Oryzias latipes: one gene and its partner. The protein of the gene in region 1 interacts with the protein of each later gene in a pairwise test. Links are inferred from orthologs where the notes say so. Each region holds a gene or a part of one and is shown on either strand. Other genes may lie near its edges. The genes, in order: zfyve27 and fkbp8.

Region 1 (3,916 bases):
CCTCTCGTTTAGATTACTGTAACTCTCTTTTTTACCTGTTTTAACAAACGTTCCCTTCAGCTTGTCCAAAACTCTGCAGCAAGGCTTTTAACAGGAACAAGTAAACGGACACACATCACTCCTCTGTTGTCTGCTTTACATTGGTTACCGCTCAAATTTCGAATTGATTTTAAAATTCTACTTTAATTTTTTAGAGCCTTGCATGGTCAAGCTCTGACGTACTTCTCTGACCTTTTAACCCCATACTCTCCGGCCCGATCCTTGAGGTCTTCCAACCAGAATCTTTTAAGCATTCCAAAAACCCGCTTTAAGACCAGAGGAGATCTGTCATTTCAAGCTGTTGCTCCTCGTCTTTGGAACTCCCTCCAATTGTCGTTGCGTCAGATCGACTCCGTTGAGTGTTTTAAATCTTAGGTCAAGACGTTTTAATTCAGGAGAGCTTTTAGTTGATTTAGTCCTAGTTTTACCACGTTTTACTGTGTTTTGTTTTACTATTATTATTATTGTATTTTATCACTTTTTTGTGTGTTGATATGATTTTATGCTCTTTGTAAAGCACTTTGTGACTTGCTCTGGGAAAAGTGCTATAGAAATAAAGATATTCTATTCTACTTTAGCAGTAAAGACCCACTGATAAAAATGATGTTTTTTGGCATTTTTAATGCGTTCTTGTGGCATTTTTTCTAAAGATGGAGGACTTAAACAAAAAAATAAGCCAAAACTGCATATGTGATTATTATTTAATTTAAATTCTAGCGAATCAGGATCAGACAAAAAAAACACTGTTTAAAAAAGTTTGTAGTTTGGACGCAGCAGCAACGATCAGCTGCCCACATCCACTAGCAGACAAATAAATCCACGCATTCTTCTTTTTCCTCGTTTGAGCTGGCATCTGGCTCAGAACTGCACAGCTGGATAGCTCCAACATTGTTTGACATCTTTGTTGTTAGGTTGGGGGTGTGAGGGGCTGTGAGCTATTGGGAGACCGTGTAAACAGAGGAAAGTGGGCTCGGGCTTACTCTGCAACAACATTCCCACCCACAGATCAGAAGTGAATTTTTAATGAACTACTGGCACTCTACAGAAACTATGTCCTAGAAAAAGATAGGCTTTTTGATTTTAGCTAAAAACTGTAGAATCTTAGTTGAGAGACCACTAGGAACACTTTTAAAAGAGATCAGAAGATGAGTAAATAGAAGTGAATTATTTAATGCTTTGCTCTGATTGACTGTAAAAATGGCAAATGTTATATGATTAAAAAAATATCAGAGTTGGACTTTCAGTCAAAATGGGAAGTAACAGATAAACCAACACTTCATTGACACTAAGAGATTAATAAAACTAGAAGACGATAAGGACAGCTTTTATGCCAAAGTCACAGAGAATTTTGTCTAGAGGGAGAAGTGTGTGGACTTCATTTACCAGTGAAGGTTAGACCCATGTGCAAGTTTAGTGTGTTTGTGAGAGAGCGTACATTCTCCATACTGTGTCTATGTTATGGGTTGTCTGTAACATTCAGGTGGGAGACTGAACCGCTATATACATACATTTTACATTCTTCTATGGCCCAATATGAACCTGCTATTTTTAGAAAAAACAATTCTGATGTGAGATATGCGTTTGCATGTTGGTTAATATTCATACCACTTTCCACACTTTCAGGCTAGTTAATCACTGATTAACATTTCTACTAGAGCTGTTTTTGTGGGGTCTTGCAGTTTTTAAGATGACTTTTTTGGGCTGGAAAACCATGACTCTCTGGCAACACTGGGTAAAAACATTTTCCAAACTAAGGGTTCGTTGATATTCTGCTCCCACAGAATGTGTACGAGAAAGTGTGTGTGTCCCTGTGTGTGTGACTGGCACAGGAGTGTTTTCCATATTCGACGCAAATCAGGAAGTTTCCGTGCCCAGAGCACTGGTACTTCCTGTTTCATTTTCTGCTTTCGTGAATCCCTGTTCACTCAAACTGCGACTTCATGAGCTGAAGATGAAGGGGGTCTCTTACCCAGAGCAGAAGGGGTCCAACCCAGACACGTTAAGATGCGGGGGGTATAGAAGTAGTAGCGCAGGCTAAGCTAGCGAGTCCCGACGGCCCCAGCTGCGCGGCGGGAGCAGAGGACCCGCAGAAACGACATGACCGCAGACTCCCCCTTGAAACCCGGAAGCAGCACAGAGCACCGCATGCGCGGGGACTAAACCAGCAATTTACTTTAGGGAGATTTTTCGACTCAGCGCAAGCTTTTCCCGAACACTCGCTTCCGGTTTGGTCCAGGCTAAACAGCTGATGACATTCATGGGCGGAGCCCAAATGAGACGATCCTAGAGCGCCTCGACCGGGCAGTGGGAACACAGTGTGTCGAGACAGACTCAGACTGACCCCTCTTCCCTCGCGTTCCAAATAGAAAGTACCCGCTGCCTCCTAGAAGCCAAAATCCCCTAGACGTCTATTGAGAAATAAACAGCTAATGTTCAGTCATTCTAAGGCAGAGACCGAGAGGAGGACAGCAGGATAGGGTGAGTAAGGATAAGGATGGTAATGTATTGACAGGTGTCAGTAGTGTAATGGAAAGATGGGAAGAATACTTGGAAGAGTTGAGAAAGAATAAAAGAGGTGACTGTTGTGGAGCAGGAATTAAAAAAGATTAATGGGGTGAAGTGAGAGGGGTCATTGAAGAAAATAAAGAATAGAAAGGCACTTGGTCCTGAAGATATACCTGTGGAGGTATGGAACATCACATTTTTTCAGGATATTTTTTTCTTTAACGTCAGTTATTCAAGTTTTAAACTAACCAATCAGATGCCTCAGTAAAACCATTTGGTGCCCGCTAGCCCCACCTCGGACATTTGATTGATAGATTCTCCTGAGCCACTTTTAGTGGAACAGGTGTGGACTTCAAATGAGCTTACTTCTGATTGGTGACAGCAGTGGCCCTATAAATTTGGACTCAGACCAATTCGGACCAATCACGGTCAACTGGCTCCAAATGAGGACACCCGTATCGCGGAAAAATGGCAACTGAATTGTCTTCATTTCACTGGAGCTGGAAGTAAGGTATTTTCTATGGGTGAAGTCACACCCAGCTGTGTCCAGACAATGGGATTTTTCTGATTCTTTTCCCCCCTCATTTTGTCTCTCATAGTTAAGGTTTACCTACGATTAAAATTACAGGCCTCTCTCATCTGTTTAAGTGGGAGATCTTGCACAATTGCTGGCTGACTAAATGCTTTTTTTGCCCCACGTTATATACAGACAATGAGTGGTATAGACCATTGTACATGTTCGAAATCTCTCCCTACTCTTTTAGTACTAGAAAACAATAAAGAGCAGGACAATCGTCTACATCAGTGATCCCCAACCTTTATTGCGCCACTGATCGGTTTGATGTCTGGCAAAATTCTTACGAACCGGTATGTTACATGTGGCGGACACATGCTGCAGCAACTCTGCAATAAAGGCAGAGACACGTGATAAGACGTACTCTGCACTTTTATTTTGACACGTTAAACATTGTACATCGCACAGGTGTCATCATCCTCTCCCCTTCCCACACTCATGGTGTAAACACAACAGGAAGAAATAACTAAGGGTGAAACAACATAACTGCCAGATAAAAGGACCCGTAGGCCAAAAGAAACACCGTGCTCAACCCTATTTTGACCAAAGCAGGCAAAGGGAATTGATTTAATTCTCTGTGATGCCATCTCCGACAGTAACCCCTGCAGCCTGCGGAACTCTGACAGCAGACCAAACGTGCACGTGACCGACACTACAGTACAACAAAATAATATGACTTGCATGCAAACTGTGGTATTTTCTAAACATAACAATAAACACGAATTATGACATGAGCAACGTCCTCTCTGCCGGCAACACTCCCTGGTCGCTATGATAACATTTAAACATGCCTTCAAA
Region 2 (3,841 bases), on another chromosome or scaffold:
TTGGCTGCTCCAGTCTGACAGATTGGAGTGGGACTACAGCGATGGTTCTGGGCCTCAGCTGGTCCAGGAAGCCTACACACTGGAACCGGCTGTGTCCATGTATGGCTGCAGAACCACATTTAACCAGTGCAGAAGCAGAAGCAAACACTGGCTTGGCATTAGCCCAGCCTTAGGGTGAACCTATTTTCAGCAGCAACATGAAAACAGATCTCCACATATGTTGACTCAGCAGACCACGTGGCCTGCTGCAACCCATAGTCTAGGTTGTGGCACCACCTACTGGCCAAATGTAAAAATGACAATCTGCCAAGAGAAAACAGTTCAATGACCTTGTTGCTGGGATCCAGCTTCAGTGCTTTCCTCAGGGTCTGAATAGCTTCTGTGTATTCACCTTTCAAAGAGAGAACCTAGAGGAAAGAACAACCATTTAGCAGACATTCAGCAGCAGCAAGAAGCTCCGGGACTGAGGCCAACCTTGCCCATGCGAAAAAGTGCCTTTATGTTGTCTGGCTGATGCTCAAGAGCTGAAACGCAAGACTTCAGAGCAGCATCGTAATGGTCCAGCTTCAGCTGAGAGGCGGCCATGTTGTTCAGACACTTCACTCTCACATCCAGCAGCTCGTCCTCCTCCTCCGGCCGGATGTCCACTGTCCCACAAAACACAACGACAATATCAAACTTCCTTCTTTTTATATGTATTATTATTATTATTTTGTATTGCTTCACATGTTTGAAATAAATCTCAATCTAAGATCAGAGCAAAAAAGCTAAAAAGATCCACTGAAGACTCATTCACATCTGCAGGGCTTTGATTTTCACGTCATTGTTTGGTTTAAAGTTGCAGTTACTGATCAGTCACCGCAAGATGATCAGGGGGAGGAGCTTTCATTGCCGGGAAAGCGGGACGGCGTCATGAAGGTCTCACCTTTGGAACTGGACTCTGCTATCTGCAGGGCGATGCTGTAGGAGTTGACTGCAAACGCATAGTCTCCACGCTGGTAATGGACGTTGCCCCTCTCTCGTTTACGACTGGCGAGGGCAATCTTTTCTGCGGGGGGCAGCAGCTCCACATCGGGGGCATCAGTGGCCTCCAGGAGTTCCACTTCCAAGGACAGCTGAGCGTTTGGAGGAACACGAGGTTCAAGACTGACACGAGAAAAAAAAAAACAGGCAGGTTTAGTGACTGAAGCAAAAACAGCAGCGCCCCCCCCCCCCAACAAAAAAAAAAGGATGGCATAGTCAGTCTGTTTCTGTGAATCTCCAGGGATCCATACAGTTTATTTCCCAGTGATTCCTTTCCTTTACCCCCATGTCAGGAAAAGACACAGATTCTCTTGAATTAAAGACAAATGTTTGCTTTTTAAGGTCTTATTGACCCAAGTTTATGTAAATGTGAGACATGTCAAGACTTTTTTGACCACGTGTGTCAAAAAGCCCCTCCCACTTACTAAACCACCTGTGAGTAAAATAAAAAGTATTTCATTTGGAGGCTCCTCAGACTCTGGGCTCTGCTACCATCTTTCTAAAGGATGGTTAAAATTCTCTATATCACCAATTTGCAGCGTTTGATGTAGAGTAGCTTATCTCCCACCTTCCTCTGTCTCCATATGCATATTTAGGATCTGACTGGATCAGAGCCTTTTCTCCCATTTCCATAAGCTGGACCGTCAGATCCAGAGCCTGGAAGAAAAGTGTTGACTGACGTTTGACCGGAGACAAATCCACAAAACAAGACCTGCAGACGTAATTTTGAGCGTTGGGGCTAACCCTGACATATATCACCACTAAGGGTTTACCTGGATAACATCACAATCTCCCAAAGTGAAGGAGAAGTTAGGTTGCTCCTCCACCAGAGTCCCATCGATCAGGCTAGCTTTAAGGTGGATCCGTACGTTCTGACCCTTCTGAGGCCGACTGGCTCGTCCCTTCCCGGGCGCCGTGACTTTTTTCTTCAGCTGGCCATTTCCTGCAGAGAGAGAACTGTTGGCTTGTCAAGAACTACCACCAAATGCTTGTTTGGAACTCACAACTACTTCCAGAACCTGTCAGATTCAAAAGACAAATGAAGAACTGTTCTCTCTTCCAAGAAACATCAGCGGGAAGAGGCCAAACAAGTGCCAGACTCACCCAACACATCCAACCACTCATCCAGCTGAGCCGGAGCCTCTGGTTCTTCATGTGGAGACCTCTTCGCCGTCTCATCTGAACTTTTCTCCATCCCACCTCCCGCATCTTCTAAAGGAGGAGGCTCCTCATCAAAGTCCTCTTCATCCACAACCTCGAAGTCTTCTCCGCTGTCCAGCAACGACGTTTGTCCGCTCTTTCTGGCAGAAGAAGAAGCGTTTTCGCGGCCGTCTGCAGCTTCCACGGTCTCCATTCTGGAGAAGACAGTCAAACTGAGGAAGCTCGTTTTCTGTTCGCTTATCTCTGAGCTTCACAGAAAAGCTCTTCAAACAGCAGAATCTGACGTTAACGTACCGACCAGGATATCCGTTACAGTTCCCCAACATTGCATGCAGACAGTTTTACTCCAAACTTCAGAAAACCTGACGTTTCCGTGGGTTTTTAAAAAGTAACGAGGTTTCTCGGTCAAAACCTACATGCTAATGCTAGCGTTAGCTGAAGGTGGCTGGGTTAGCTAGCTATGAGCCAGCGGCTTAGCTTATTTGCATCCATCAAACTAAGAGTTTTTAGTGACACTGACATTTTGACAAAACGAAGTCGTCGATTAGAATCACTTCCAAACGAAGGAACACACACAGAAAAGTTCTTAAAATTGTAAATTAGAACGCGAACATTCACCTCCAGCCTTGTTTTGGTCCAACAGCCGCGTCCCGATCCTTCAAGCTCACGCAGGAAGTTAGACTGCGAATAGAAAAGTCTAGAGCGCACGGCGCCAACGGGAAGGGCCACAGTGGACACTCAGGCTGACTTCGTCACAGCGGTAGATCCTCGCGCATGCGCAGCAGCACTCTGCATCGCTTTAATGTTTCAAGAAGCTTTTCTCTGCTTTCAGATTAAAAGCCCCCTTAATGGTTCCATTAAAAAACACCCTGTGCTCACTCATGAAACGACGGAGAACATCCTTCACCACGAAAACGCGAACCTTTTAGAGCAGAAAGATCTGTTATGCTTTAGATCCTGATGTCACACAGTTCCAATCATTATTAAACATTTGATGAACCGAAGAACCAGACAAGTTCGCCCAAATAAGTTTCAAAGATAGAAAAACACAATAAATAATGTACTTAAACATTGTTACTAGTTAAAAACAAAAATTTGAAATGAATAAAGGAGTTTTACTGATAAATGTGTTTCACTGATTGAAGGGTGGTAAAAGAATCAGTGGCTGGCACAGAACTTTTACTTTGAAAAACAGAGAACTGCTTGTTGGTCAGTCCTGTAAATTCTTTCAGATGGTGGTGAAATGTAAAATCTCTGATGTCTTCATGTTTTCTGGTTCCTGTGAAAAAGAAGCAGCTGCATTCTGGACTGTAAACTATAAAACACATTTCAACTGATTTTGGTGTCACATAAATCCAAATGTGACCAAAGAATAGCGAAAGATGAAAACGCAAGTTTAGTCATCAAAGCTGTGAGTGATTCTTCCTGGATTTCCTCACACATTTTTACTTTTAAAGCTTAAACGATCTCTGTGTTGTTTCTGCCTCCGATGTGCTGCCGATTGGACATTTTTTAACAAGAATGTCCGGGAAACTTTGCTTATTAGCAGTTTTCACTTTAAGCAAAGGAAGAACTCGGAAGTATTTTTGGTGTCATGAGCCCAAAAGACATTTCTTTACTTCACTCTAGACCACATGTGTCAAACTTAAGGCCCAGG

The links.
Region 2: the proteins of zfyve27 (region 1) and fkbp8 interact in binary tests that used the Homo sapiens proteins (3 or more experiments, as listed by UniProt). The link is inferred for Oryzias latipes from reciprocal best matches to the Homo sapiens genes ZFYVE27 and FKBP8.

What each region holds. Positions count from the first base shown.
Region 1 is NC_019859.2:28,354,283-28,358,198, forward strand, and holds the start of zfyve27 (protrudin), read right to left. Parts: upstream 2,319-3,916; 5' UTR 2,009-2,318; intron 1-2,008. UniProt on the Homo sapiens protein: Key regulator of RAB11-dependent vesicular trafficking during neurite extension through polarized membrane transport. Promotes axonal elongation and contributes to the establishment of neuronal cell polarity.
Region 2 is NC_019862.2:8,042,106-8,045,946, forward strand, and holds the start of fkbp8 (peptidyl-prolyl cis-trans isomerase FKBP8), read right to left. Parts: upstream 2,948-3,841; 5' UTR 2,511-2,947; coding exon 2,479-2,510; intron 2,379-2,478; coding exon 2,128-2,378; intron 1,967-2,127; coding exon 1,797-1,966; intron 1,681-1,796; coding exon 1,592-1,680; intron 1,147-1,591; coding exon 926-1,146; intron 648-925; coding exon 475-647; intron 408-474; coding exon 330-407; intron 1-329. UniProt on the Homo sapiens protein: Constitutively inactive PPiase, which becomes active when bound to calmodulin and calcium. Seems to act as a chaperone for BCL2, targets it to the mitochondria and modulates its phosphorylation state.